Linked DNA regions of Kluyveromyces lactis. The protein of the gene in region 1 interacts with the protein of each later gene in a pairwise test. Links are inferred from orthologs where the notes say so. Each region holds a gene or a part of one and is shown in the gene's direction. Other genes may lie near its edges. The genes, in order: AIM44, NBA1, CDC42 and NAP1.

Region 1 (8,335 bases):
CCGATTTCACATCAAAGAAGGTCGAGCATTCTGCTGAAGCTCGAATGTATGCACCTTGCAACGCTTCGAGGGTCTCAAAAACACGCTCTTAGAAAAACTAGCACTGAGGAAAATCAAAAAGAAATTTTATATCCAATTTCACCCGGCAACAAAACTAGATAGGAAAGAACTTATGAGTAACAACATCTTCTAAAGACAAAAAATACGAACCTACAGAATCAGTAAGCAACGGTTAATAAGTAACACATAGACACAGAAACACACCTGCTTCTGTTTTTGTAATCTTCCTTTCTCCCATTTTATCTTCCCTCGAGGTCTCCCAGTCCGGACTGCGAAACTTCCCTAATTTTTTCATTTTTACGCTTTTTGATTTACGTGATTTTCTCGTGGAACATGTCTTATTCCTTACTCCCTGTACCTCAATTGGGATTTCCGACTCTTGCCTGATCCCCAATAACAGTCGGGGATATTATTCGGGCTGTGTCCTGCGCATGTTTTAGTGTTTTTTATCAGCAATTTGGTGTATTATTTCGATTTTCCTTTGATTTTCCAAAAGGAACCACCAATAAATCGAGGAATGAAACTAGATACGTTAGTTCTGTGCGAACCTTTCTGTGACTTTTTTCATAACTTCTCTCGCTTTACAAAACAAGGCTTCGAGAAATAAAGTTGGGGTAACCAAGTTTTTCTGAAGAAAGTACCAAAGGAAAGCATAATCACATTTATAAACACACACATATATATATATGTAGGTATGTCTATATAGTTACATTTATAAAGGTATCCCAACCTTTCTCTTGTTGCATGTGGTTAGGTATATGTTTTTATGCGTAGTGCAACGCGAAAATTGACAATAAATCATTGTGAAATATGGGTCTCAGATCCGGTAAGACAAGTAAGAAGGGCAATAGATTAGTGGTAACCTCGCTTGTGTTGTTTAGTGTCGTTTTGCTTATCCTGTACAGTGTCGGTAGCGATGAGTCGTTTATGAATTACAAGCAGTTTTCGCTTGGAACTTTGCAGATTGGTGCCGAAGATGATTCTGATGTAAGTGCACTACCAAGTATTGATGGTAGCATTAGTAGCATTAGTAGTGGAATCAACTATGCTTCTACGAATATTGCTGCAGATTCTATTGTGGAGGAGAAACTTGTGATCAACGAAGCTGAAGGTACTAAGCGGATGGAACTACGTAAACACAAGGTCCTGTCACCTAAGATGACGGCTCCTCTGGAATCCGAAGTAGCACCGGTAATAGTTGAACACGGCGGATCCAGTGGAACTGGTGGAATCACTGTTAGTAATGAGCGGTTCAGTCCAAGCTTAGGATTTCAGCAGATCTTGAATACTTCGCCAGTGATTCTTTTCATAAAATCTTCTGAGAAAAACTCTGTGGATTTGAAGAATGTTTTGACGTTAGAGTACACTTTTTCTCCAGAGATTATTGTTGTTGACTTGGACAAACATCAATTTGGTGACTCTATGCAAGAATATATCCAGTTGAATAGGCTAGCAACTTATAAATCAAACTATGGAGAATCTTCGAAATCTCCTGATGTCCCATATTTATTCATTAATGGCGTTTCCTTAATCAACAAATCTTTGAAAGACGATATATTGAACAAGCATGCAGACGGGTCCCTTCTATCAAAGCTTAGACACGTTGCTGATAGTAAGGTATCTATTTCAAAGGTGGATATCCCATCCAACTCTTGAGTTCCTTGCATTTTTGGTGGTTATTTGCTTGTATGAACAAAGTAAAGAATCATTTTAATGAGTGTTTTATGACGACCTATATTTCTCGCTTCTCGCATTTTACTACTATTTTTGGGCTCCTGCGGAAAGGAAGCCATTTTCCATTACTTTTGTTTCCATTTTATATGTATTATAATTTCTATAATAATACTTGAGGTGATCAGTATACTAATATTTCAATCTACAAAAAGTCCATTAAGCACTCAAGTGTGAAACACAAGTGTGAAATACAAATGTTTCAATACAAATCCTCCATTTTAATTTCAAGATCTTTCGATGATCTTTTATTATTTAATTCATGCGATTCCTCTTCCTCTATTTCTGTTGGATAGTACTCAGAAAAATCATAGAATGGTCTCCCCCAAAATGCAAGTATTCCTTTCATGTAACCGTTATCCTTAACATAAACAACTTTACATTTTTCATCAGGGCCTAATAAGTCATGAGTAATTGAGGACAACTGATCAAGATCTGAGTTTCTCGGTAGAAACAAAACTACATTCTGACATACAGAGAAGAAAACGCTAAGTATCTTTGATAATGGCGACGGCTGTAAATGTTCTTCGAGGTCATAAGTGTCCTGTCTCAAATAGTCAACACCACCCCACGGAGGTGAAGCAAATATGCAATCGGGTGTTTTTCCCAAGTTCTTGACTAAAGTCTTTTTCAATGATTCTTCCCAGTCACCATATATCAGTTTAAGCTTGACAGCAGAATTGTAACACTCAGCATTCTTATAGGCACAATACAAATGGTCGATATTTGAATCTATCCCGTAAACTTTCTCAAATAATCTTGCAAACTGAATGGTATTACCACCGCCTCCACAAAACACATCAACAATACAATTTCCATTGGGTAGACAATGCCTAACATAATTTGCAGTAAACTGTGCAAGATTTTCGGGTGTGACACTAAACCACAATTCGTCTGTTAAATATATGTTACCATTATTTATGAGCTTGAAAATGGTTGCCCTATTTTTCCAGAACTTGAATAATTTCTTATCATTCGGCCTTTGGTAAGGGTTTATTCTGTAACTATCATCGAAGAAATGTTTCTTTAATCGATGCCTTACTTTTATATTGTTTATTCCATCTATTCCTTCAAAACATCCAAGATCTTTTGGCGTCTTTAAGAGCCACGACATCTGGCTTTAAATAAATATCTTAATGACTTGGACAACAGTTCTGCTCCATTATTTTAAACTATAACTATATTATGTGTTGTTTTTACTATCCCATCTCATCGCATCTCTCTGCATTAATTTTGTTAAATTTATAAAATGATGGTTGCAGAAAAGAAATCCAATATAGAAAGGAACTATTAGCAAGTGCCATCTCCAAGATGTGTGATTTTACCAACATCTGACCTGCATCTACAAACCCTTGCCTTTCTAGTTGTTAACAATGCGGCATGTCTGCATTTACTTTAGGTGTAAAGTAGAGAATACCTCTCTCTTGTAGCCCCGCTTTGCTGAAAACTTTGACATAGAACGAATACTCTTCAACAAAAAAGGATATAGGGGTACTTCATCTCCCACCGTTCCAAAAAGAGTACAGTAGACTCTGTTCTGAAGTTATACCTGTAGATAAACCGTTGAATGTAACTGTTTACCAGAATATGGTAAAGTCAGTTAGTTCTTCGGTTGTCAGCTTGATTTAATATCATAGCGAATTTCAAGTTTTCGAGTTCCTTCGTCATTAACCAGAAAATATAATGGATTTGGCACTAAAGTAATTACATAAAATGGTAGTGAAATACATCAAGACAAAATACTGATAAAAGAAAGCAGGTTATCATTGTTCTGCTATTATTCTGAAACAGTCTTAACTTAGTTTTGAGATGACGATACATTATGTGACACCAAATATATATTGGTACAAAATGCAACAAATATCTGGTATTCTAAAAGTATATATATAAACTCAGTTCATGATGATAATCTAGGCACTCTGATGTTAAGAGAATTATAGATGGGCAGGCTGTCACTTGGGCTGAATGAATAATTTCCTTTCAAGATATCCTTATGAGTAAGATGTTGTGAAACAGGTCACGTGTGTATTCCATCGTGGTGTACGGATGAGATTTCTGCCCAGCATCTAATTTCCCTTTTCATTACGAACCCAGCATGAAATTTAGCATGTCTTTGCAGATAAGGGCAAGCTGATACAAGGTCAGCAATATTTGCTATTCCAGTAGAGTGTCGTATGCGGCCTCTAGTAAATATGGCTGGCCCTGCAACTAATCATTGATACTGAATCAGGTCAGCTTGTTCCTTAAATTGTTGTCTGGTATCATCCTTTCAGTATCTATATATATATATATATATATATATTTGAAGGAATGAATGAAGAACTTGAATAAGCTGAATGGGGAAAGCGATTCCACGATTGTATGAGTCTTTTTTGTCATCATGAGCCACTTGCGTAACCTTTCCTGGTGCAAGCTTCGTAAAATATCTTAAAAGCGTTACTCAAAATTACGTGCAATACTGTTATCATCGAATACTCTAGCTGGTAAATACTGAATTACCGAATAAATGATCAGAACTCCCACAAGAACCAAAACCAAGTCCTATAATGGATCTCAATCAGAATTTAGGTTCCCAGATGTTGAAGTTTTGGCTCATCTTAAATTGCCAGAACATGGTTTAAACAACCATCATCTACTAAACGAGCAATTGAATAAGAAGCCAGAAGACGATATTCACTCCCAGCATTTATCTGACTATACCACGACAAATTCCAACTCCGGTAACTCATCTAATGGATACTACTCATTTGCTAACATATCTGATAATACGACTAATCCTGACAAGTTGTCTGCTGTCAAGAACACAGCTTGTGCAATTGGAAACAACAGGTACTCATATATATCATCTTCCGGTTCTTCAGTGCATTATCCTGGAACACTGGCACCGGACAGAACACCTAGAATATGTCCCACAAACTCACCTGAATTTGGCAGGCCATTGGATGGTAACTTTGATATGCAATGCATACCAGAAGCATATTCTACGGTTACCTCTGATTTCACTTTGCCGACTGCCGACAATATTTCTTTCCAGTTCACACTGTCATCTGGTAACTCCACTGCAATGCTAAAGAAGCGTAGTACGCCGTCTACGAAAACGCGAAACGCCACGAACTTAAGTGAGAAACGGAAATCATCAGTCAAAAGATCAACTTCGACTGTGTCAAGAAGGTCGAATATAAAAAGATCAAATGCGATAAGATGCAAAGGTGGACTCTTACACTATTTCACTAAGCTCGGTAAACGTGTAAGATTAAACCTTAAGAAGTTCCACCTGGCTCTAAAACGCAAACTCTTTACGTACAAACAACGTCATTTCGCAAAGTCTGATAAGAGGACAACATCACATTTACTTCGTTCAAACGGGTATTTCGCAAATATTAAGAGGTCACAATCGATGAGATCAATGGCTTCTTACTCTGATACATCCTCTCCAACCGTTCCATCTGGATTGGATATAAAGAATACCCCGATTGTCAAGCATTCCTCCAACATCAACCATCGTTCATTGAGGAGAACTCCATCCTCTATTAAGCGTGCAGCATCGATCCTTACGAGCAGTAATTCACTTATTTTTTCTAGAAGTAATTCTTCCGTCGGAAGAACTGATTCAACCCGTTTAGTTAGGTCTCAACCTTCTCTAAATTTAAACTTAGCGGTAAGACAACCTTCCATCGTTGTTAAAAATAAGGTGATACCACTTTCTCAATTCGATCATGACGATTATTGTATTAGAGAAGAAGACGAAGACGAAGAAGACGAAGATGAATATATTATCGATACACAAAAGATGCAACCACTAAAGTCAGAGATGGGATCTATTACATCATCCTTACATGATGGTGATTCTGTCTTCGAAGACGCTATGAGTTCGTCTGCCTCAATGGAATCATTGAGTGAATCTGTCAAAATTCTGAATGCAAATAAGGCTTGGGATTCTTACCTTCGTGCAGTTATCTCACAAAGAATTTTGATGAGATTGCAAGTCGCGAAGTTCCAAGCTTCACAAGATCACCATACTTACAAAGAATTGCTTGACGCCATTGTCACAGACTATGAAAGCGATGCTATCTTTTCGAATAACGACGCACAAACAGAAAATGACTCCATGTCAGAATGTGACTCCCCTCATGAGTTCGACACTCTAACTGATTCCTCGAGAAGTACACCAGCAGTTGTTCCACAGAGTTTACGCGAAAGCTTTTCGTCATTAGCTAATTTCCAAACCTCTGTGAAAGCCGGTGTTCGGAGAAATCTAACATTACCTGTAGGTATCAGCATCTGATATCTCATTTCAATACATTAGCATTAGGAGAGAGCCCATTTATTATTGACATATTTTTCCTGGACATAACTCCCTTCTTCCACCTCCCCTCATTAGCATTACAACATCATTGATTCCTATATATTCATATTAAGATAACCACGTTTGTTGTTCATATTTATCGCATTTCTAGTTCTCAACAGATAGAGTCAGATATAGACAGGGTTGTTTAATTAACTTTATCTGATGATTCTATCATTTTTGAATTTATTCTCTTTAGGCAGGTCAACAGATTTAAGATCGGGTGCGAGACCTTGCATTGAAATGTCTGTATAAAATTTATGAAGCAATCTGCACAACGGTTTCACGTACCACCTGTCCAAGTTCATGTCAAACCATCCAATGTGACCTCCCCTTGTAGTTGTTAACATTAAGGTGTACGGATTACTTTGGACTTCACGATATGGTAGCGCTTCACATCCAACAATAGGATCATCTAAGGCATTCAGAATCAGTAATGGAGTTCTCAACTTGTTTAATCTGTTCGAACTCGTACCGTGCCTGTAATATTCAAAAGACGTATTGAATCCAAACATTCTAGCCGTAAAAAAGTTATCGAATTCTTCCACTGTTTTCACTTCATGTAGGTGGTCGGCGTACATACGCGCCATTTCAGGATTTTGCTTCAAAACATCAAGATGAGATGTCGTTAGTTTAACTAAATTTTTCGCTAACGCTGGAGTGTAGGCGTATTTCCCTATCAAGTTTCTTTCCAAATGATAAGATGATGCCGTTAAATCCCATGGATTTCCCAACACAACACCTAATTCTACGTCTGATTGATCGGATTCTTGTCCCAGATAATTGGCCGTCATACTTGCCCCTAAAGAGACCCCACATAAAAAGAATTTTCTATTAGGAAACTTGTTCCTCAATTCCTTCACGCAAAACCTTACATCATCAGTCCATAGCCCACAATACAAAAATGGTGTCGTAATGCTTGATTGGCAGCACCCACGGCTATTTAAGACGCAGGCTTCAAAATTGTACTCGTTCGTGATGGTGTCAACTAAAGATCTGACATAACTTTCGTTAGAACCACCTGTCAACCCATGTAATATAATGAGCATCGGCTTTGTATCAGACGATCCGAACTTTTCATCAGCATCAAAATAGGTATACCTCGGAAGCAGTTGATTTCTCTGATTTTTGGGAACGTAACCAGTCTCTTTCCATAACGATTGGGGAACACACACATCTAGTGCACCTTCACCGCCGTCTGGATAATTGAGAATATATCTCTTATAATAAACCAAATGTTTCGATTCGAAAGTGAACATCGAAGCAAAAATCGTCTGCATATGACCACTGCAAAGAAAAGGTGGAATCACACACTTGCTATTATGTTGGAACTCCGGTGCATATTTGTCAATTAATGATTTAATGCTGACACTTTTTGCAGTTTTGCCTGGTTCGCTGTTAAATTGTAACAGCTCATCAGGTAAGAACTGCTGTACAGTTTGAACCCACGGTAATAACGAATATAATTCTCCCAATACCATTAGTAGCTGAAAAGCTCTCTAACACTCAAACACTGTTATTGATCCTCTTTTCTAATGTACCTTCTTTCTATTACATTAATCCATGAATAACTACCATAATGTTAAAGACCGATAGCATTAAGGTTTACTTTTCTTTCTTCAAAAACCCATTATAAGATAAAATACGTAAGGTCAGATGAAGACAATTCTAGATAGAAAAAAAAAAAACACACAATTGACATGCGAGCAATCGTTGGTAAAAGAAATCGCTACACGTTGGAATCAGATGCTCTATGGGTAATTAAGCGTTGCCACGGCTACAAACATATAGCCTAAAGTCACTTGTTTATTAGTATTTTGGACAAAAATTATGTAATATAATCGTTACCTATGACACACATCTACAGGTTCCGGAAACTGAAAAGAAATTTGAAAATAAAGATACCTGATTTTCACTTTTAATAATCAACCCATTTAACGAGAGGTTTATCCTCACGAGAATACAACAGCGATATACAACAAATAACGTGCTGATAGCAGAACATTAACATCTACGTCAAGGTTGCTATTAGTTTTACTAGATCGATCACCACTGTCAAAGGGTTAGAGACTTTTGAAGCGAGCTGTTTTTTTAGGTGTTGCTACGAGTTGTTTATTGGAAAATCTGGAATCTGTTTACTCCTTGTTGGTTTTCCCTCAGTGAAAGATAGAAGGATACTTCTATATCGAGGCACATATA
Region 2 (8,678 bases), on another chromosome or scaffold:
GACGTTCGCTCGTGTAAGATTCCAGCCTACCACATGACCCAAATTATACTAAGAATATTCCAATACGACTATTACATATATGTAGGCGCACCTTGGAGAATGAACGTTCGTGCTGGCACTGAAGAATATGCATTGGTGAGCGAAAGAATCCTAAAATTCAGTCAAGACCCGATGCAAGGTGGAATGGCCATTATTTATGCTTATATGTTCTTATTCGAGATGTTCCACAACGGAGAAGATATGTCATGTGACGTGAATCTCGACTATTGTATCACTAGACCAAACACCTTGGCATTGACCACACTCTTAATTTGGTCTTACAATTACTCTCTATACGGCCCAGAAACCCATATTTGGGACAACTCCCCTGATGCATCATTAAAGATGAACATGAAGGTGAAATCGGAATATGTCCCCATAGAAACCTTCCAACAACATCTGAAGAAAATGTACAGGTACTTAAAAGTTAAAGAAAATCTCGACGTATTCACACACCACCAACAACTGAAAGAAAAGGCAAGGCTACTAAGAAACATCCCAAACACAAACCATCTCGCCGGAATGATGCTATTCATGAGAGACATGTTCCATGGATGTTATTGGGAATTGGGTAGAGAATTCAGTAATTTATTCGACAACTGCCTGGAAAGATCCATCGGTAGAGAAAAAGCTGTATGCGAACACATGTACGAGACTTGATCAGTCGTCGTGCCATCTTGTAAAAACAACGAAAACAAACAGAACAGTCAGACATTCTATAACGCAGACTTTATAAATACAAATAATACACACATCTGGACATGCAAACTTGCTGCTTACCATGAAATATAGGTAAAACACTTTCAGGTCACATGACCTGATGTCCAAGCTCCAATCTCCATTGGAAAGACCCTGCGGCCCGAGCGGGCCAGAAATCCGAATTTGGGTCCCTAAAACAATGTTTCTGGGGTAACGTAAGCACATTGAAAGAATCGGAGCCGAAATTCCACCAGAAACTCCGTTTTCGAGGGCCCGGAAAAATCTTTTTGCCCAAAAAAAGATCACAGCTTTGAATCGGTTCAAATACAAAGAAGCTGTTAGAGATGGCCAACACGAGATTGGAAACTGGATTTAACATCATTACATTAACGTTGTTTAGTTCGTATTTAATCCTGTATCGTTCAGCCAACAGTTGGGAAGTTAGATTTCGCTGCCAAAACTGTTTTGGAAACAGGCACATTTTATTTATTTTAGAAGCATCTCTCTGATCCGTCCAGCATTAAATGAAGCTGTGAGACAAGGTGATATTTCATACTTTGAATAATTTCGTTTGTGCATATCTTTTAGTTATCTGGGTTGAACATTCGTTACATTGTCAAGAAGTCAAGATTTGAATGCATTTTATCATTCGTTAAGGCATTTTACGTTTACGTTATTATTTATTATATGATTTAAAGAGAGACACAGAAATAGAAGCAAGGCAAAAAGTATTAAAGACATATAACAACATGCAAAGATGGAACTAGTGAATTCGAATAGCGAGAAAAAGAAGCAGCAGCTGGAGGTGTTTAGCAAATATGCCAGTGTGCTTACTGCTGAGCAGAAAAAGCTGGGAGAACCGTATGCTAGCGATGTTTCGGACTCCGGAGAGACTGGTGAGTCGGTGTTAAGGTACGATGATTTCATCAGGCTTATATCGAACTCGCAGTCGTTGTACTCGAAGTTTACTGATCACTCGTTCAATTTGAATCAGATCCCGAAGAATGTATTTGGATGTATCTTTTTCGCCATGGATGAACAGAATAAAGGATATTTAACCATCAACGATTGGTTCCATTTCAACAACATCTTGGAGTTCAACAACTACCATTTGATTGTATTATATGAGTTTTTCAGGAAGTTTGATGTGGCAAGGATACGGGCCCGACAAACTTCGAATATCGATGATCAACGTGTGAAATATATCAATTATGGGAATAAGTTCCTGAGTTTTGATGAGCTGTATTTGAACGTCGATCAGTTTAAGTCCACTATTTCGTTCTTACAAAAATGCGTTAACGATGAATTTATTATGAAAAATGATTTGGCTTTGAATTGGAACGAATTTCGTTGGTTCCCATTTTACCAGTGTAGTCCGTTTGGGAAATCTTCAGGCACTTATTTCTCTTTGAATTCGCTCGTCACGATTTTGCAAAGCGATTTGAAAGATGAGAAAATGTTCGTTGGGTTCAATAAATTATGCCATCTGAACCCATCGAAAAATTGTCGGACGCTTTCCAAGAACCAGCTATCTTACCTTTTGAAATTGTTCTATTCTCACAGAGTCTCTTCAGATGTTTTCAATTCTTTGGATTTATCCAACACAAAGCTTATCAAATGCGATAACAATTATATCCAATACAATGTCATAAAAGACATATTTTATTTATTTGAGAATTTTGATCTTTTGAACCAGGTGCTTATACGTTACGCACAATATTACGAATTCGATGAGAACGATGTCAGAGAGCAAGTGATTACGAAGAGGGACTTTATGGAGTTTTTGAATAAAGAGTATAACAAAGTGACGAATATTGTAGAGTTTTCCCCATCACAGATTAACCTCTTGTTCTCCATTGTATCAAACTCAAAACAGTCAAGGCACCAATGTTTGACTTCGATGCACCACTCTGATGAAACCATCGACGATTTCATTCATAGCCAAGTTCAGATGGGACCTCATATTAATAAGGGGACTATTAAAGAGTTCAACGAAAACTATAACTCAACTGTGGATGAATTTAGCCAGGCTTCTTCGTTACAAGAACATAACGAAAGGAAGCAAAGCCAAAGAGTCTCATTATTGGATCGTCTTTGGGCAAGTAAGACTCCAAAGGATACTGCCGAGAGTCGTAACCTTACTATGGAAGACTTTATGAAAATCTTGAACCCTAACTATTTGAACGATATTGTGCATTCCATGGAGTTGAAGAGAATTAGATCGGAATCATGGTACTCTAACTTCTATTTCTACCCGATCTTTGATTCGATTCATAACTTTACGTTAGGCTCCATAGCTGGGTGCATCGGCGCCACTGTCGTGTACCCTATTGACCTGGTAAAGACAAGAATGCAAGCGCAACGTAACAGTGTACAGTACAAAAACTCCATTGATTGTGTTGTGAAAATCTTCCAAACTAAGGGTATTAGAGGTCTTTACTCTGGTCTAGGCCCACAGTTAATCGGTGTAGCCCCCGAAAAAGCTATCAAATTGACAGTGAACGATTTCATGAGACAGTATTTCATGAACAAGTCTCGTACGATTAAATGGTACCAAGAAATCCTTTCAGGCGCCACCGCTGGTGCTTGCCAAGTTGTGTTTACAAATCCATTGGAAATCGTAAAGATCAGATTACAAATGAGATCAGATTACGTCGGTGAAAATGCAAGGCCACAATTAGGTGCAGTAGGAATTATAAGGCAATTGGGCCTTCGCGGTCTCTACAAAGGTGCCGCAGCATGCTTACTGAGAGACGTCCCATTCTCCGCCATATATTTCCCAACATATGCTCATTTAAAGAAGGATGTATTTAATTTTGATCCAAATGATAAAAACAAGAGAAACAAACTCAAAACCTGGGAACTCCTCTTGGCTGGTGGGATCGCAGGTATGCCAGCAGCTTATTTGACCACTCCTTTTGATGTGATTAAGACCAGATTACAAATCGATCCCAGGAAGGGAGAAACAACGTATACAGGTGTAATCCATGCAGCAAGAACGATCTTGAAAGAGGAAAGCATCAAATCATTTTTCAAAGGTGGACCGGCTCGTGTGTTGAGAAGTTCCCCACAGTTCGGTTTCACCTTGGCAGCATTTGAAATGTTCCAAGGGTTATTCCCATCGCATTTCAAGAACCATGAAACAAACAGTAACAACGACAGCAACAATAACTCAAGCTCTTTTGGCGGACCCAAAAAGCATTCCGACGTAGAGGATGATACACCCATCGTCACTGGTTTGTTCACAACCTTCTACAAAAATTTCAAAAATAATCATTACAGCCATGAACCAGTTCCGATAGAATTCTATGGTCCATCAGTGGACCCATACTCCAGTAATTTCCTCAATTACTACTACAAGAGCTGTCAAATATCAAAAGTTTTCATAGACCTCGATTACAACTTTGCCAAGTTCGATTTTAATGTTTACAGAAAGTTCCAAGATGAATTGAAACGAATTGGCCCTAAGAGCAACTAATGTACATTATGAACTAAGTTCGAAACACTATTTAATACGTATGCATTTATATCATTGTATACACACGCGCATCAAGGTGCGGTACTAATGTAAACACCTATTTATTGTCTACTTCCATTTTCTTCAATTCTTGTCACCTGACCTTCAAATACTAAGTGTTTACTATCTTTCCTGATCTGGAATTCAGATCAACAGTGAAATCAAAACATCAACACCTTACTGACTGTAAGAATCTTTGATCTAAACGCAGGTTAGAGGTTTGTCAACCCAGTATAGTAATTGTAGCAACTAACAACCATCTACTTATTGAGGTAGATACATTTATTTTTGAAATTGCTTGTTGTTGAGGGAATTCTTTGGAAACAAGTCTATTTTAGAGGATACTATCCCAGGTATCAATAACAGTTGATCTGGAAAGAAGGGAAATACTACAACCAGAAGCACTATCTTGGACAAATACAATGAGTAAAGAGCCATTGGAGAGTGCAGTTAGGCCACCAAGCGCTAGCAACAACCCTAATTACAACAGACTTTCTGCTATGATCGAGAATTACAGCTTACATGAGAGTTTGGATGATGAAATATATATGCCAAGCAAGGGAATAGATTCTGCTGAAAGGGCATCTCCACAATTGTCATATACATCTAACGATCAAAATGTGGCATTCTTCAATACGTATGGGTCCCCTCAGCCTTCTCCAGATGGGAATCGTTTACAATTAAACGGTCAATCGCCAGGAAACAGAGAAAGCATAATATCGGCTTATTCAGGCACTGTCCATGAAGGTGTTCCAGTCTCCTATATAGTCAAAAATAACAGTACTACCGCTGTGAAGAAGGAGAATTTTGAAGAGCCAGCTTTACCGCCCTTCCCTACTAAGAGCGAATGGTCAGCTGCATCAGCAGATGCATTGTCTGAATTAACAACAAAACCAGTAGGAAACTCTATTGATACGGAAGAACCTCAGGTTTCGTTAAAGAAAGAACAGATTGGGCAACCAGCTGAAACAGATACGACTCCTACTTTAGAGAAAAACAACTCATTAAAACTTGTATCTATGGAGATGTCCCATCAGAAGGTCCCTTCATCAATCGCATCAGGTAATCTAGCAAGCGAAAGTGGACATTCCTATAACGCATCTGCCACAAGTAATTCGGGATCCAGCATGGTAAATTTGGACCATACCTCGCAATATGGTGCTACTGGTAACAGTGGTGACTGTCAACATCTATCTCAACTTGAAACGACGACAATTAAAGAGGAATCGTACGATGAGCAACAACAAACTCCAGTTTCTGATTATAATAACATCCCCAAGGTCAATGTCACAGAAGCAATTTCGGACACTACACCACTAAACATATCACAGGCTCCAAGCCAGCAAGATATATCTCAGGTATCCGAAATCAAATCAATTGCTTCGAGTATATTACCACCACTAGAAACTCAAGTTAACAGTAAGAAGACCGCTGGTGCTGAACCAGAACTTGAAATCATATCAGACTTACATCCAACAGTACCACCAAGAAGCGCAAGAAGGCCCAAGTCACATATATTTATCAAGGAAAGTTTAGATGATATTCAGAATCAACTTGCAAAGGAGATGGGGAAAGGTCACAGTGCCAGTGCAAGCCGGAGTGAGAGACATTCAAGACAAAGCAGTGTGAGATCTGAAAGTTTCTTCTCTGCTACTGAGCAAGATGATACCATGGGACCACAGGAGGATGGATACACTACTAGGCCACTACCTTCTATTCCAAGCTCATCATCGTCAAGATTGGAGACCCCAGAGAACCAAATCACACAACAACCGAATGACCAGGCAGTGTGCAATGTAAAAGATCCAGAAGATGATGATGATTACGAGGACATAGTAGAGAAAGGTGCTGATTCCACTAAAGCTGCCTCATCAGTAAGGACTCCACAAAGTAAGCTGCCAAAGGCTCCCAAGAAAGGCCATTCGAAGACCAGATCCAAATCTCACCAACGTCAAGGCCAAAACCAAAGCCACAATCAAACCAAAAAAATCGGATCCAAACACAACAAAGAACTAAGATCCTTCGATATAGATACTATCTCACAACTATTGAATGTTACAAAGGGAACCCTGATAGGGTCAGAATTCTCTAACCTTGGTATGAAGATCGAAGAGAAAAGAGCTCTTGAAAGATTGGTCGATTCTCTCTCTAGATTGACTGCAGATATGGTTCTGGATCCAGAAAAGTACCAAGAAGGTTTAAGAAGACTTGAAAGAGCTACTAAAGCCCTTGATGGGTTTTGATACGAATTTTTTGTGCTTTTTCTCTTCTCAGTTTTGTATTAACGTTATCAGTAAAGAATCAATATATACCAAATGTAATAAGTATTGAAAGAAAAATTCTTAAATCAAAGAAGGAAACACTGGCTTTGATTAATAAAAGACGTTGCAAAAGATGCCTACGGTTCAATCTATTGTCTCTCACAGTGTTGATACCAGTCGTTTAAGCTTGTATAAGGAGCCAATCTAAGGACAGAGGTGGTTTACGATATGTTGAATGCTGCCAGAATGAACTCATCTCTTTTATTTAAAGCTCATCTCCATAATGTAACAACAAGAGCCACAAGAAGACTACTTTCACAGAGCTGTAAACTGGGGCAGAAGCATGTCAGCAGCACCGCAGATGCTATTGAAGAACATAATACCATTTCTGAGGTGATAGAAGAGATCAAACAGAAAAAGAACCCGGATAAAGAGGCGATGAACAGGTTATTGAATCCAGTGTTTTTCAATAAACAGATCGTCTTCTCTGATAAATCACCATCATGGACAGGGATAATGGAGACGGATAAAGATTCTGATAGCCAGACACCGCTACCCCATTCCAGTTTCAGGCTTAGTGATCATGATATAAGAGATTTACCAATATCGGCGACCAGTTATCAAAATGTGCGATTATCCGGCATAGAGAAAGCCATTCAACTAGTGGCAGAAAAAGAGAAGTTGAGAGTAGCATTGGAACACGCACTAGCCCCACATTTGAATCATTTAAAGAAGACTGTGACCACAGATAAAGAGTTGTTGGACACTTGCATGCATTACTTGGACCAATACTTGCAAAGGGATCCCAAGATGGAGGTTCAAACGAAAAGGTTCATCGAAGTGATCCACAAGAGATCTTGCGAGGAACCATCCAATTTACCACAACCTTATTCAATAACGTTACCTGCCATCATACGGTACATATTTGATAGTGGAGAGTTCAAACTACCTGGAGATAGAAACTATATTATATTAAAGACAATTTACAATAAATGCAAAAGTTGTAAAGATCTCGGCCTTTACCTTGACGTATGCAACATCGATTTCTACAACTTGCTAATTAAGTTTATGTGGGAAGAATATAAAGATTTGGTCATGGTAAAGGAACTGGTATACGAAATGGATGCCAACGGTATCACCGGTGATATTGCCACTACAGAGATTTTGGAAGATATATGCGAACAAGTGAGGTTTATAACGGATGTCATTGTGAGCGAAAACGCTGGAATCGGTGAGGCAGACCAGGAGTTGAGTAAAACTAGTGTATTGTGGTGTACAGAGAATGCTAATGTCATAGACCAGTTGACGAAATACCTCAAGACGTTGAAAAGATCGTTGATGAGGTAAGGAAAACAGATTTGCCAGACCAACTACAACAAGCTAACAATGTAAATAATTAAGATAATATAGATAATACACCTATAAATGTAGCTGATGGTGAATACATAAAGTCACGAGCGGTATCATTCGGATGGTAAACGGAATGGTTTTGTTTTGTACCTCTTTTCAATCTTCTTGGCTTATGTGATGAAAATCGTTCAAAGGCAATTCGAGGTTTTATAAACCTTCTTGACACAACTACAATATACTTTGATTCAATTTACCGTAAATGCAGAAGTCTAGGACTTCGCTAAAGATCAGATAGTGTGAACCGATAATACAGATACGTTTTCTGCAATGTTGCAAGACGTTGCCCTGAACTGTTACAACATCGTTCAGTCGTATTTATCGATCGATGCCGAATCTGCCGTAGCCACAACCGGAGATGTAATAAAACAGACTCAAGAATCGATACAGCTGAGTAGACGGTACCTTCTGCAGGATATATTCACTAGATGGGATCCGTTCAATGGCGAGATATCATTTTCATACAACGGTGGCAAGGATTGTCAAGTGTTGCTAATCATATATCTGGGATGTCTATGGGAATTTTTCCTCATGTCAATACAGGGATCACAGTACGATCTCCAGTTCCACATGTTCCCGTTGCAGCAACTACCCACTGTATACATTGATCAAGAGGATACCTTTCTTACGGCACAAGATTTCTTACAACGGAGCGTGGAGCGATATCACTTATCGTTATACGAATCAGCGAAGGATAAACAGGTCGATATGCCAAGTGCCTTCAAGTCGTTCTTATCGGTACATCCAGAGACTCA
Region 3 (7,463 bases), on another chromosome or scaffold:
CCCATTGAAATCTAAAAAGTTTTTACAACAGTTACAGCAAGACGTGCTTCTATTGTCTGAACTTAACATTATGGACTATTCATTACTTTTGGGAATCCACAATATCGAGACAGGCAATGATTTGATTGAAGAGGGGAACAAGAACGACCTCGTTGATCCTCTAGAAGACTCAAATGCGATGCCAAATCTACTTCCAAGTCAAAGTTCTAGGAGAACTATTCATCAACATAAGAGCCATCATCATCGACGTCATACTCATCACTCAGTGAATCCACCTATCAACAACACACAGGTAGTGAAGCATTTCTTCCAACAAGACGAAGGCGGTATTAGAGCCTCAGATCAATTCAACAATGACTTAAACCAAATATATTTCGTAGGAATTATTGATTGTTTGACGAACTACTCGATGCTCAAGAGAATGGAAACACTTTGGAGAAGTATGAATCACGATTTGAAAGTGGTAAGTGCTGTTCCACCCAAAGTTTACGGCGACAGATTTTACCATTTCATTGAAAATTCAGTTAATAAACATTACGACGAAAATCAACAACAGCCAGGATATCACGACTGATATCTGACAAGCTGCTGCTCAAATTATTCTCTAATACAATTAAAAATGACGTATTTCAAATTTACTTCATGGGCTGTCAAATCTTTACCTAAACCAAATCTTATACGTACGCCATACGGACCCTACACTTCCAGAAATTCTTCCACTATTTGATTTAGTTACTATAATTCTTTTCTCTACTTATCCATATTAAGATAGAATGTGTTAATCAATGTGTGCACTTACATAATTAAACTTACGTTTCGTACTAAACTTAATATCTGTCGCACTGCTTTCATGCTTATTGTTTAAAAGCAAAGCAAAAAAAAAACCCAAAAATCAAAAAAAAATGTCGAATAGCGGAAGCCTCATGGAAATGGCAGTGATAACAAAAATATCACTTAAAGCAGTTAAAAATAAGGTACAACAATTACGTCGACTCCACATACAAAATATATATAAGCAAGAACTCGATCCATCATTTACTCGGACTGTATATTGTTGATATTTTTTTTTTGATATATAATGTCACTTGAAGCATGTTGGGTTTTAATTGTATAAGTTCTTTGCCAACTCCACTCAAGTGAATCAATAGGTCTGTTGTGTTAGCCGTACTGTTCTAATACCAATAGGAAACTGAAAGACCCTATTCTGAAGAACTATCACTAAAAAAATTAATACTATGAGAAATCACAACCAGCCACAGCAAGGCTACTACGCCCAACAACAGCCTGTGTATGTACAGCAACCTCCTCCGAGAGAACGTTCCAGCTGCCTAGGAACATGCTGTAAATGTTTGTTATGTTGGTGTTTGATTGATACTCTATGTAATGTTTGCTGCTAGGTAAATTTTATAATAAACCTCTAAATAGGAATGATATTCTAAACAAAAGTTCAAAGAACCTCTGCTAATTCAATTAATGGTTTATTGAAGGGCCAATTGTGTGTTCATTATGGTTCAAGGTATGCCTTCTTTTGGTAAAAAAAATTATTGGTTCGCAGAATATAAACATCAACAAAAGCAAATAAGACATCATTGAAGCCCCTGTAGCTCAGTGGTTTAGAGCATCGTGCTTATAGTGTGACTCCAATCAATATGGAACATTCTATGAAAATTGGCCCTTCAAAAGGTCGTTTCAAAGCAACGCGATAGTCGTGGGTTCAAACCCCACCAGGGGCATCTATTTTTTTCTCATATTTCAACTATCTTTTTTTTATGGGTTACTATGATGATTCTGATTTTTACACAGAAATTCACGCAGAGCGTTGTATCTGAAATTTTTTTCTTGTCTTGGTTCTTCCTTATTTTCAAATTGAAAGTGAGAAATGACATGAAATTTGAATATTGAACAATCAATTAATTACATATTACACATGATGATGAGTTTATCGAGAAGAGAAAATCATCCAACTTTATCGCTCTGGAAACGCTTAGTCTTTTGGTTAGAACGGGGAAAAAGGTACCCTGTTTATTAATAGTATACTTGTACTCATTTAAGCTTTTTTTGTTTCCAGAGTTTCCCGTAATTTACAATCGAAAGATGAGTGGAAAGAAGACCAAATCTGGTAAAGCCAATCAGAATAAGAAACAAGAGGTTGTTCAAGATGAACGTTTACAAGCGATTGTTTTGACTGACTCGTTTGAGACTAGGTTTATGCCTTTGACTTCGGTGAAACCAAGATGTTTGTTGCCGTTGGCCAACATTCCCTTGATTGAATATACTTTGGAGTTCTTAGCTAAGGCCGGAGTCAACGAAGTTTATCTGATTTGTGCATCGCATGGTGAACAGATCCAGGAATATATCGATCAGTCCAAATGGAGTTTACCATGGGCTCCGTTTAAGGTGAATACCATCATGTCGCTAGAGTCCAGATCTGTTGGAGATGCAATGAGAGATGTCGATAACCGTGGGCTAATTACCGGTGATTTCGTACTTGTTAGTGGTGATTTGGTGACTAATATGGACTTTGAAAAGGCTTTAGATATTCATAAACAAAGGAGAAAGGCTGATAAGGATCATATTGTCACTATGTGCCTAAGTAAAGCGACTCAGTTTCATAAGACAAGGTCTCATGAACCAGCAACGTTCATTTTTGATAAGTCTAATGATAGATGTATTTACTACCAGGATATCCCATTGGCTAGCTCTAGAGAAAAAACTACCATTGATATTGATCCTGAACTTCTGGAAGGTGTTGACGAGTTTGTGTTACGCAACGATTTGATTGATTGCCATGTAGATATCTGTTCTCCTCATGTCCCTGCTATTTTCCAAGAGAATTTCGATTACCAATTCTTGAGAAGAGATTTTGTTAGAGGTGTGCTTTCTAGTGATTTGTTGAAGAAACATATCTACGGGTACATTACCGACGAATACACCACTAGAGCAGAAAGTTGGCAAACGTATGATGCTATCTCGCAAGATTTTATTGCTAGATGGTGTTACCCATTGGTTCTTAATGCCAACCTTTTAAAGGGCCAAACTTATTCATACGAAAGCCAACACATTTATAAGGAAAAAGACGTGGTATTAGCGCAGTCCTGTAAGATAAAGAAAAACACGGCCATCGGCTCAGGATCCAAGATTGGAGAAGGTACAGTCATTGAAAATAGTGTTGTTGGTAGAAATTGTAAAATTGGCTCAAACATCAGAATCAAAAACAGTTACATTTGGGACAATGTTGTCATTGATGATAACACTACAATTGAGCACTCTTTAGTTGCTTCAGATGTTAAATTAGGATCAAACGTCACCTTGAATGATGGTTCCATTATCGGATTCAATGTAGTGATTGACGATAATGTTACAATCCCAGTTGGAACCAAGATTTCAGCGGTTCCAGTACAGAGGAACACAGCTCAATTCTTAGATACAGCACATAATCTTTCTTCCAGCGATGAGGACGAAGAAGGAAGCACATTCACCAGAAATTCATCTTCTTTATCAATCAGTAATTCCGATGAAGTTGCCGATGCGAAGATTAAACTATCTAAGCAGTTGGTTGGGCCAAACGGGAGAGGCGTACTATACGAAAGTGATGATGAGGATGAAGATGAAGATGGATCGACCGAAAAGGGTATTGCGAACACATTAACGTACAGAGACGATGACATTTATTTATCGGATACTTCCATATCATCCATCACTCAAAAACATAGAAAGAGGAGAACCATGTCGATGACTAGTATCTATACTGATTACGAAGGAGAAGAAGACGAAGAAGAAGATTTCGAAAAAGAAGCCATCGCAACAGTTGAAAGAGCTATAGAGAACAACCACGATTTAGACACATCAATGCTTGAACTAAACACTTTGAGAATGAGTATGAACGTCACTTATCATGAAGTCAGGAATGCTTCTGTTATCGCTATATTCAGAAGAGTTTACCACTTTGTAGCCACACAAACACTAGGTCCAAAGGACGCTGTCACTAAAGTCTTACAACAATGGGGTCCTGTGTTTAAGAGACAAGCATTTGATAGTGATGAGTTCATTGATCTAATGAATATCATTCTGGATCGTGTGCTAGATCAGAAATTCGATAAACCAGATTTCATTCTATTCCATGTATATAATGTCTTGTATGATTTGGATATCTTAGAGGAAGATGTCATTTACAAATGGTGGGACTCTGTAAGCGGTGATTCAAAATACAGCGAAGTTACTGCTCTACTGGCCAAATGGGTGGACTGGCTAAAGACTGCAGATGAAGAATCATCTGATGAAGAAGACAGTGACGAAGACGAATAAGTCAATAACGTCATAAATGCCCTTTGAATTTTCATGGTTCCTCCGAAGTTCAAGATTGGTCAATATCAATCAATATAATGTAGCATGTAGCATTTCGAGTAAACGTGAGATAACCATATGCAAAGTAATCTATAGACAAATATACGTACGCATTTCAAGGCTAGTGTCCTCACTACCGGACTGCCAACCGCCTATGCGGTCTTCCTGTATTCTATATGGGAGAGTTTGACTGAAAATAATTCAAGTCACGTTACAACGTTACCCTAACTTCCTTATCTATTAACATATTCCCATTTCAAAATTGAAATAACAGAACAGGAGGACGAAGATATGTATGTGATGAAGGAGAGTAGTCAGACAAATTGGATGTTAGACATAGCACAGTCAGCCGGAAGTAACACCGTAAAGGCCTGCAGTGATAGTAGTATAAAAGCAAGGAAGAAAGGAATTTAAAACATGCAAACTCTTAAGTGTGTTGTTATAGGTGATGGTGCTGTCGGTAAGACGTGTCTTCTAATTTCATACACAACTAACCAGTTTCCAGCCGACTACGTTCCAACCGTTTTCGACAATTATGCTGTTACGGTGATGATTGGCGATGAGCCATACACGCTAGGTCTTTTCGATACAGCTGGTCAAGAAGATTATGATAGATTAAGACCGTTATCATACCCATCAACAGACGTGTTCTTGGTTTGTTTCAGTGTTATATCTCCTCCTTCTTTTGAGAACGTAAAAGAAAAATGGTTCCCAGAAGTACATCATCATTGTCCTGGTGTTCCATGTTTGATTGTGGGTACTCAGATAGATTTAAGAGATGATAAAGTGATTATTGAAAAACTACAGAGACAAAGGCTTCGTCCTATCACTCCAGAGCAAGGTGAAAGGTTAGCCAGAGAGCTTAGAGCCGTAAAATATGTTGAATGTTCGGCTCTTACCCAGCGTGGTTTGAAAAACGTTTTCGACGAAGCTATTGTTGCTGCTCTGGAACCTCCAGTCATTAAAAAGAGTAAAAAATGTATTATATTGTGAAAAGTGATCGGCCTTGTATTTTTTTTTTTTATTACCAGTACATGTATCAGGTAAGAAGTTTCTCACTCAAGGATGAGCGTTCTTAACAATCTTCCCGTTCACCATCAAGTCCAGTTTTATATTTATAGATGATTGTGAGATAGAGAGTGTGTTTCCAAGTTTTTGCAGGTTCAAAAGAGAAAAAAAGCTCTACCCCCCATCTCCAGAAAAAGCGTTACATTTCACTAAACCAACATCCTAAAACTACCAAAACTACTTCATAACTCTTTGACATTTCTATAGACAAACTGAAGTACCAAACGTTTGGTTCTTTGTTTGAATTCTAAACCGTCTAAAATACGAAACTGGTTCGAAGCGAAAAACTAAACACTATGGAGTATCGCTTTGTTTAAGTATAAAACCTCAACGAAATTACTCTTCGTGTGTGGATTTCATTATCTCATGATATATTTAACCTCTCAGGCTTCTAATTGACTTTTAGCTCAATAGTTTATATAAATATAAAAACATTTTCCATTTAACATATTGCTTTAATTATACTATTTGGTCTTGCAAAGTACTTTACACATCCAAAAATACAGAACTTCGGAACGTCTTATAAAATCATATTTAAACCATCAACCATATTTTAAATAACATTTAGATTCCATGCAATATTTTGGATGATGAAATGGATGTTACTTCGCATTAACCTGGGTTACCTGTAAGATAGAACTGTCTTATAACAAAACAATAAAAATCTCGGTTTTAATGGCATACGAACTCAAAATATATAATAATAACAATCTCTTCCAATGAATACACCCCCCAATTCTAACTCTTTGAAGCGCCAGCGGTAAAGACTTTCCATGCAGTGATGAATATGCAACATCTTCACTTATTCACGTGACTTTTTTTTGTTTCCTTCTATTCATTCACTACCCTCCAAGAACCGAAATTCTAAGTTCGTGAAAAACCTTCAATACAAAATACTAATATTGTAACAACAAGCGATTTTGAAAAGTGTAATTGAAGTGAGCGCTTTGAGAAAAGTATCATCAGATCCACTACGACCGTTAATAACACTGAACGATGGCTCAGGTATATGGGAATTCACGTTCCGATACGTTATTTCTAGGTGGTGAGAAAATTTCTGGCGATGACATCCGTAACCAGAACGTTTTAGCCTCTTTAGCAGTGGCAAATGTCGTTAAATCATCTTTGGGGCCTGTTGGTTTAGATAAGATGTTAGTCGATGACATTGGTGACTTCACCGTTACTAACGATGGTGCTACCATTCTCGCGCTTTTGGATGTTCAGCACCCAGCTGGTAAGATTTTGGTTGATTTGGCACAACAGCAAGATCGTGAAATTGGTGATGGTACCACCAGTGTTGTCATCATTGCTTCTGAGCTATTGAAGAAAGCTAATGATTTGGTCAAGAACAAAATCCATCCAACTACTATTATCACTGGTTACAGGGTTGCTCTTAGAGAGGCAATTCGTTACATTGATGAAGTTCTTTCTGTTCCAGTGGACACTCTAGGTAAAGATACAATGCTAAACATTGCAAAGACAAGTATGTCTTCCAAGATTATCGGTTCAGATTCCGAGTTTTTCAGTAACATGGTCGTTGATGCACTATTAGCTGTTAGAACTCAAAACGCGAAGGGTGATGTTAAATATCCTGTCAAGGCCGTTAACATCTTGAAGGCCCATGGTAAGTCTGCTAGGGAATCCGTATTGGTTCAAGGTTACGCCTTGAATTGTACCGTAGCGTCTCAAGCTATGCCAAAACAAATCACCGGTGGTAACGTCAAGATCGCTTGTTTAGATATGAATCTACAAAAAGCTCGTATGGCAATGGGTGTTCAGATCAATATCGATGACCCAGAACAACTAGAGGAGATTCGCAAGCGTGAAGCTGGAATCATCTTGGATAAAGTGAAGAAGATTATTGATGCTGGTGCTCAAGTCGTCTTGACCACCAAGGGTATCGACGATTTATGTATCAAAGAATTTGTTAATGCCAAGGTTATGGGTGTTAGACGTTGTAAGAAGGAAGATTTAAGAAGAATCGCCCGCGCCACTGGTGCCACACTAGTCAGCGATATGTCGAACTTAGAAGGAGATGAAGTATTTGAATC
Region 4 (8,151 bases), on another chromosome or scaffold:
TTAGTCAATTGTGAAGTAAGCCCAGAAATGACATGAGACCCCTGCAATGCCGTTAATCTGGCCCCTATGTCGTTTATTTTCAAGTTGCCCTCTTGAGTAGCTATCTTCTCTTTCAATTGATTGGCTTGTTCTGTGGTCTTGTTCCAGAAACTGGATACTGTAGCAGAACCGCTAGATGACCACCAATTGGAAATTGACGCCAGTGGGTCCTGAACTGCCTCTTCACCTTCTTCTGCCACATGTTCTTCTTTTCCTTTCTGTTCACTCGGTTTCTCTTTACTGGCTGTCTCTTCTACAGGTTTCTCGTTCGATTCTGGCTTCTCCTCCGGTTTCTCTTTCTCTTGCTTCTTAGAGGATTGTGGCTTGTCCTTTTTGGACGGTTTCTTCTTAATATCCAGGTTACTATTTTCCAATTCGTCTAAGAATTCCATAATATCCTCATCCTGGCCGCCGTTCCCACTAACCTTACCCTTTCCCTTAGTGTTATTAGCAGTACTGGCTGGTAAAGAGTCTAAAAACTCTAGCACATCATCGGCATCACTAGTCATTTGGTGTTTTCTTTTTAAGTCTTTACTGTCGATAAAACTTGAATATTGATACGAATTGTTCAATCAAGAATCGATATATTCAAACTAGAAAATTATCGCTGAAAGGCAAGACAAAACTCCAACGGTTGAACTTAAACTAGCCTCCTAATCCTTGTGAACACAAGTATATAGTTTCTATCCTTTCTCTATTGTCATGGTTCCAACTACCGTGTGTTTTTTTCATGTATTGGTCCATTCTAAGGGTGGGTCGTATTTAAATATCCGGGTAACTATGTCACTTTCATTACCATGAAATAACGCTGGTATACATAAAGTGAGCAGTTAGCCGAAATGTAATGAGCACCGTGGCCTTTATCACCACCTATTCTTACCCCTTCCATAGATGGTGCTCTCCAGTACCAATGTCGGCATGTCTTGGCTTAAATCTTAGCATTTTTCATTAACTAATACCGTATCTATTTTGTACTGCCGTTTCTTTTCTAAAATTTTTCATCTCATCTCATCGCGAATCTGTTGAAAAGTTAATGCATCTCCATACCATGTACTTGATCCCCCGTTACTATTCACCTGTGCTAGCTATCTTGTTACTTGTTACTCTTAGTACTGGCTAGTATTCCTGGAACTACAAGTTAACGGTTAATCACAGTACTAAAATTCGAGATGCCATCTAAGAACTCCATTAACAGGCCAAAGCAAAAGGTTAACTTGAACCGTAAGGTTCATCAACGTGCTGCCAAGAGAGATGCTATGGAAAAGAAGGGTTTATTGGCACCAGCAAGATCTTCAGGAACATCTAAATCTGGTCAGTTGAAGAGTATACCATTGGATCTTTACAAAGGCGAGCATTCGACCTCTGGTGCTCTTACGACCAAGACTCTTTCGAAGAAAAGAGCAAAGAAGATCGAACGTAACTTGAAATACGTGGAACAAAGAAAACTATTAGTTGATCTACAATCTCAAAGTGAGGAAAACGGTGGTATGCAGATTGATGCGCCTGTTGTGAAGAAGGAGAAGGAAACCAAGAAAGGACAATTGGAAAAGATGAGAGAGGCTATTTCCACGGTGTTGGAAGATATTCAATCTCAAGGTTTATCCCTTCAGACAGGTTCTGGTACAACTCTAGGTGGTCAGTATTTCTTGTAGAGAGTCTTAAAAATCGTTAAATGGGGTTTGCATTGTCTATATAAACATTTTGTATACTAGGATAGATCTTAAACGGATCGTTCATTAAATATTATTCTGACATAAAAAAGAGTGCGTATATGTACTTAGGTACTTACTACTTTTCGTATAAACCTTTGGTCACTAATGCATCATTGACCTTGGTTTTCATAAATCCAATGACATCTGCTGGGTCGTGCGCGCGGAACACAGAGGTACCGGCAACAATGACATTGGCACCTGCCTCGGCAGCAAGTTCGACATTCTGTTTACCAAGACCACCATCGACTTGAATGTTCAAATTAGGAAATCTAGTTCTCAAGTCCTTCACTTTGCTCATCATATCGGCCATGAATTTTTGGCCACCGAAACCCGGTTCGACAGTCATTACAAGAGCCATATCCAGGGATGGTGCCAACTCGTACAACACATCCACAGGGGTACCTGGCTTCACAGAACAGGCAGCCTTCATACCATGCTTCTTAATTAGCTTAACCAACGCTACCGGGTCCTTTGTAGCCTCGTAATGGAATGTGAACTGATCGCAACCGATCCTAGCAAAATCTTCGACCCATCTTTCAGGTTCACTAACCATCATATGACAATCGAAGAATGCTCTTGGTAACTTGGTGTCTGGATCGTTGTACTTTCCGATAACTTTACGTAGCGATTCGACAACCGGTTGTCCCAATGACATATTAGGAACGAAGTGACCATCCATAATATCGATGTGTAACCAATCGGCACCAGAGTTAATCACATTGTGACATTCACAACCTAATTTAGTGAAATCACTGGCTAGAATAGATGGGGCAATAATAGCACGAACCATGTTAAAATTGAAACTTATTATAGTTTTGTAAACTGCTGACCTTAAACTCGAACAGGTAATGGTAAATCGTATTCTATAATGAGCAGAGCAGACCGTTAATTGGGTAGTTGGTTCTTGTTTGAAAAGAATTCCCTGCTGCTTTTTCTAATTTTATTGCATTCTTTATAAAACTGAAATTCTGATATCCAAAGAAAGCGACTATTGAGAGAAAGAAGAGGGGATCAGGATTACTTCAGAGTATTTTACAGCTCAAGATTCATTATATAATGTACCGTTGATATCAGGAGTGCTTTATTCCGAGTTTTTTTACCAGGAATTGGTACGATTTAGTCCTTTGAATTGGCATACGGTTGCAGTATTTGCATGCTTCCGTGATCTATTTTAATATGTAAGGAATATATAAGAAGAGCATTTTTTAGCCAGAAAATTTTCTTTCAGTAGGAAACGTAACAGCTTGGAACATCTGATCGTAGAGGTAGTGGGCTATTTGTGATACTTGGAGTGTTGCAGCAGGATATTTGAACTACATTAGCTGTATACATTTGAGTGTATTTGGCAAAATAGTAAGGATCACATCATAAAAATGTCCAACCCTATCAAGACATCGAGGTCGAGTAAGATCGATAATGCACCAACGCCTCATAACACACCAGCTAGCGTGCTTAAGGATTCATATTTAAGGAAGAAGCAACAGCAGCAGTCTGACCAGGATCAAGATCAGGATGACGATAGCGAATACAACGAGAGTCCATCTTTATCCCGGATCAATGAAAAGTTGGAGTTCTTGAACATAGACGAAGAAGATGAGGGTGAAGAAGAAGAAGAAGAGGAAGAGGAAGAAGGCGATGAAGAAGCTTTCGAAAGACTCCCAAAAGCTGTGAACAATAGGATCTTAGCCTTAAAGGCTATTCAGTCCGATTTGTTCGAATTGGAGAAGAATTTCCAGCTTGAAATGTTGGAACTTGAACAAAAATATCTGCAGAAATACAAACCATTACACGAACACCGTTACGAGTTGATCACAGGTGATAAGGAAGCCACTGAAGAAGAAATCAAACGCGGGGGATCTTTGGATGGTGAAGATGAGCATGAAGAAGAAGAGCATGACCAGGAACCGGAGGAAGGTGAGGAAGAGATCGTTGGTGTCCCTTGTTTCTGGTTGACAGCCATGGAGAACTTACCAATGGTTTCTCAAAACGTGACAGAAGCTGACTGTGATGTATTGACATACTTGACGAACATCACTCTAGAGTATCTAACTGAGGGTAAACCAGGCTTCCAATTGATTTTCACCTTCGATAAAGAGAACGAATTCTTCACTAACGAAACTTTAACAAAGACATACTACTACCAGTCCGAATTGGGTTACTCTGGCGACTTCATCTATGACCATGCAGAGGGTGAAACCATTAACTGGGTCGATAATGACCATAACGTTACAGTCGAAGTGAAAAGACGAAAACAAAAGAACAAGACTACTAAACAAATTCGTACCATTGAAAAGCTGACACCAGTGGAATCGTTCTTCAACTTCTTTGACCCACCAAAGTCTCTGGATCCCGAAGAAGAAGACGATCTTGACGAAGAAGAAATCGCTGAACTTGAGAGTAGATTGGCTGTAGATTATGCTATCGGTGAAGAGATCAAGGACAAGTTGATTCCAAGGGCAGTGGATTGGTTCACCGGTGCAGCACTAGAATTAGAATACGGCGATGAACAAGAAGAAGACGACGATGAATTTGACGATCAGGACGGTGAAGAAGAGGAAGAAGAGGACGACTTCGCTAATAAAGATGCTCTGAAGAAAGTCCAACCTCCAGAATGCGAGCAATCCTGAAAGAGATTTTTTTTTTCACATCCACCGATATATAGTAAGCAGTGGTTATCAAAAGTATTTACTCTCTATCTAAACATCACCCTAAGCTGTGGCCTTGCATCAATCTACTCAACGCATGTTCCAGATACGGACGGTGCCTGGCATGCATACAATTTGTGCGCGGTTTTCCACCTGTTCTTATTTTAAGCAGGTGGAAATATATGGCCATAAGGTCTGGACATGCACATCATGTGGTGTCAAAGTCAAACGGAAGTAACGGTCTAACGGTCTGAACCCCTGAAGGCCCCGTTACCAGTAAGAAAAATGGGCTGAAAAGGCACAACTAAGAGCCCTAAAGACAGCAAAAGTGTATAGCAAAAAGAACTACGAGCAGATTACGAATGAAAGTACATAGGGAGCAAGTCTGTTTATTGCTTACTTTTTGGGTAATAGCAAGGAATGGTGACAAGACTACTGGCAAGGCACGAAATAATCCGTGGATCTAGAAACATATCTGATCTACATATTCCTTCCGGATTAACATGGCAATGTTAATCGCAGTTGAAACACCAACTACGTTAGCCCACTGTATCCTTCAGTTTCGTTTTGGTTTCTATCTCTGCCTCTTTTTCTGCATTGAATTCAAATTAAGGAAAACTTGTGATAATGTTTTAGAGACTGACTATAAATAAAAGGCATTGCTTTGAGTTTCAAAGGGATACGAACCTATTACATATAAATATATATTTATATCAGTTTATTAAGTTTGTAGAACTGCAAAGTACTTTTAAAGGCGAAATAGAGTTGTGCAGTTGTTGTAAACCAGGGAAATCTATCGTTTTTATCCATTAGAACCAAATACAGTACAAAGATCCTTTAAAAATGACAGGCCCAGTTAAAAAGCAAAGGTCCCGCTCCTCTTCTTCAGTTAGACTTGTTGTTGATAAACCATCTACTGATAAATTTGCTACACAGTATGCTACTATCAATCATTTGAACAAGTATCCGACGTTGATAAAGTGGCTTAATGCCTTGTTGAGCTTGTCTTTGGTGTCAAATATAATTTCTACCATTTCCCTAATTTTGTTCCAGTTCAGGATCAAAGTCATCGAGTCTCCAAAGACCCCAACGTTCGTGAAAAGATCGTTCAACAGATCAGTTGCCATTGTCAAGAAGTTGGACGAATTCATCAACACCTTGGTGTTCAGAGAAGGTATTGATACGTTCGTTGAAGAATACCATGACCATGGGAAGTTAGGTGTATGGGTGGCATATTTCGTAGTAGACTATACTGCTAATGTGGTGAACTATACAGTGAAAGAATTGATTTTGAGACCCTTGTCTTTAATCAAGGATGAGACGCATCCATCTTCTAGTGGGAAATCTGTTGACTTGCCCCATTTCAAGGAGTTGGGAAACACTACCAAGGATGTATTGGAGCCTACTAAAGAGAAATTTGTTGCCAGGTATGATAATCTGGTGAAGCCAGCTAAGGATGGTTATGAACAAGCCATTTCCACGGCAAAGGAAACATATTCAACTGCCTACAAGACTGTTTCCGATAAATACGACACGAACTTCAAGGAAACTGAATCCGTTCCTAGAGCTATCTTGACTACAGGGTCAGATTTGGGTTCATTGACCATTGAAAAATTGAAGAAGTACAACGGTGTCGGTGATGAGTCAAATACAACTGTCGACACAGAAACCTCCGTCAAAGGTTTGAAAGGTCTCTCTACCTGAAACCAGAAGCAACTTCTGCGTTTGTTTGTGCTTTTTTTTTTTTCACTGCCAAGACCATTCTTAAATGTCATTTATGCAACCAAGTGGTTCCAAGAAGCTAGTTTGTTGCTTTTTCCCTCGGCCTCTATCACTATGTATGGATAATAGATAAGGATACGATGCAAACTATGATATCGACTAAGCAGCAGGAGAAACACCAAGCTTTAAAATATTCAAGAACTCTGTATGGCTGGCTCTGTACGTTATATTTTACAAACTAATCAAGACTATTATATTCTATTATATTATACCCCACGTCCTCTTTTATATAACCCTTTTGGCAATGCAGAACCTTTGAGTTTCGACCAGATATATTTATGTACAGCTAGTATAAATTAAATATCCTTAATGAGGTTTGTGCTATTATTACAGCAAAGAGAGAGAAGACTCAGAATTTGAAGCTTTGACGTTGTAAACGGTATCGTAGAAAGAGCGACTGGTTTTTATCGAGTAAACAATGGGTATTAAGGAGAATCGTGACGTTCATATTTCTAATTTAAGGCTAAAGGCCTTGGCTGTGGTGACAGTTTTGTTGTTTTTATGTGGTTTGCATTTATCCAGATGGTCAAGGACCTTGAAAGATAATCAGACTGCAAGTGAACCATTGTGTCCAAACGCACCAAATTTGAAACCGCCTTCATACATCAATGATAACTCGACCTTGGAAATGATCACACACGATGTCGAATATCGTAGCGATGCCGTTGAGAAACTATTAGGATCCGTTAGAATTCCTACTGAATCGTATGATTCTCATCTAGATCCTATTGAATTTCCTAAGGTATATGAAAACTTCACAGTGTTACATGACTATTTCCGTAAGACGTACCCTGCAGTGCATAAGACTTTGAAACTTGATGAAACTAAATACAAATACAATTTGGTTTACGTTTGGGAGGGGAAAGATGCTAGTTTAAAGCCTTTAGTTTTAGCAGGACATCAAGATGTCGTGCCTGTCAATGCAGAAACCATAGATCAATGGGGGTATCCACCATACAATGGTACGTTTGATGGCGAGAATCTTTTCGGTAGAGGTGTTGCTGATTGCAAAGCTTTGGTCAATTCGGTTTTTGAATCAGTGGAATTATTAATTAAGGGCGGATTCCAACCAAAGCGTACTGTGATCTTGGCATTTGGATTTGACGAAGAAGTTGGTGGCGGATATGGTGCCCAGACCATAAACGAGCACCTTATGGACAAATATGGCACTGACGGGATATATGCCATTGTAGATGAGGGTGGAAGTTCGGTAGAGAAAATTGGTGACACCTATTTCGCTTTACCGGCAGTTGGTGAAAAGGGTTCATTAAGCAGCATAATTCAGTTGAACACAAAGGGAGGACATTCTTCGGTGCCTCCTGAAAACACTGGTATTGGTATAATGGCTGATTTGATCCATAGTGTAGAGACGAATCCATTCAAACCGTCCCTCCATTTGGAAAATCCGTTCTTGAAACATTTGTACTGTATGGTAGAACACACTGACACTGACGATATCGGTCTCCCCAGAAATGCAATCCGTCATTACGAGCACAGCAAGTATGCAAGGGACCATGTGGTAGATTGGGTCAGTGGTAATGACAAATTCAAATGGTTGATAAAGACTACGCAGGCAGCTGATATTTTCCATAGCGGATTCAAAATCAACGCCTTGCCAGAACTATCTACACTATACATTAACCATAGAATCAACATCGGATCCAATTGCCACGACACTGAACAAAAAATCATGGACCAAGTGGAGACTATCGCCAAGAAATACGGAGTTGGCTTAACCTATAAGGGCGAAACTGTCATCGAAGACGCCAATGGCCTCGGAAGTTTTGAGTTTGACACATCAGAATGCCTTGAACCGGCACCTGTATCGCCTACATATGGTAACGAAGCTTGGGGTACTTTTGCCGGTACCATTAGACATATCCTCGAAGATATCACGTACCCAGGTGCCAAAGCCGTCGTTTCCCCATCGATCACTACGGGGAATACAGATACTGCCAAGTATTGGAATCTAA

Evidence for each region.
Region 2: the proteins of AIM44 (region 1) and NBA1 interact in binary tests that used the Saccharomyces cerevisiae proteins (3 or more experiments, as listed by UniProt). The link is inferred for Kluyveromyces lactis from reciprocal best matches to the Saccharomyces cerevisiae genes AIM44 and NBA1.
Region 3: the proteins of AIM44 (region 1) and CDC42 interact in binary tests that used the Saccharomyces cerevisiae proteins (3 or more experiments, as listed by UniProt). The link is inferred for Kluyveromyces lactis from reciprocal best matches to the Saccharomyces cerevisiae genes AIM44 and CDC42.
Region 4: the proteins of AIM44 (region 1) and NAP1 interact in binary tests that used the Saccharomyces cerevisiae proteins (3 or more experiments, as listed by UniProt). The link is inferred for Kluyveromyces lactis from reciprocal best matches to the Saccharomyces cerevisiae genes AIM44 and NAP1.

The regions. Positions count from the first base shown.
Region 1 is NC_006040.1:511,741-520,075, forward strand, and holds AIM44 (Aim44p), read left to right. Parts: upstream 1-4,297; coding exon 4,298-6,076; downstream 6,077-8,335. Other genes in the region: pheromone-regulated protein PRM4, read left to right, coding at 871-1,716; TGS1 (RNA methyltransferase), read right to left, coding at 1,994-2,905; MGL2 (putative carboxylic ester hydrolase), read right to left, coding at 6,295-7,617.
Region 2 is NC_006041.1:1,180,344-1,189,021, reverse strand, and holds NBA1 (Nba1p), read left to right. Parts: upstream 1-4,677; coding exon 4,678-6,498; downstream 6,499-8,678. Other genes in the region: SDD4 (Sdd4p), read left to right, coding at 1-699; AGC1 (citrin), read left to right, coding at 1,496-4,216; MTF2 (Mtf2p), read left to right, coding at 6,745-7,863; FAD1 (FMN adenylyltransferase), read left to right, coding at 8,194-8,678.
Region 3 is NC_006037.1:380,117-387,579, reverse strand, and holds CDC42 (Rho family GTPase CDC42), read left to right. Parts: upstream 1-4,761; coding exon 4,762-5,337; downstream 5,338-7,463. Other genes in the region: MSS4 (1-phosphatidylinositol-4-phosphate 5-kinase), read left to right, coding at 1-574; GCD6 (translation initiation factor eIF2B catalytic subunit epsilon), read left to right, coding at 2,095-4,305; chaperonin-containing T-complex alpha subunit TCP1, read left to right, coding at 6,409-7,463. UniProt on the Saccharomyces cerevisiae protein: Involved in development of cell polarity during the cell division cycle, and essential for bud emergence. Affects signaling in the pheromone-response pathway through the STE20 protein kinase.
Region 4 is NC_006041.1:1,339,470-1,347,620, reverse strand, and holds NAP1 (histone chaperone NAP1), read left to right. Parts: upstream 1-3,124; coding exon 3,125-4,378; downstream 4,379-8,151. Other genes in the region: DUF5427 domain-containing protein MTC1, read right to left, coding at 1-548; ALB1 (Alb1p), read left to right, coding at 1,209-1,691; ribulose-phosphate 3-epimerase RPE1, read right to left, coding at 1,828-2,541; PLN1 (Pln1p), read left to right, coding at 5,240-6,100; KLLA0_E15005g (M20 family metallopeptidase), read left to right, coding at 6,597-8,151. UniProt on the Saccharomyces cerevisiae protein: Acidic protein, which assembles histones into an octamer (in vitro). Involved in the regulation of the localization and the function of the septins during mitosis. Involved in the function of B-type cyclins.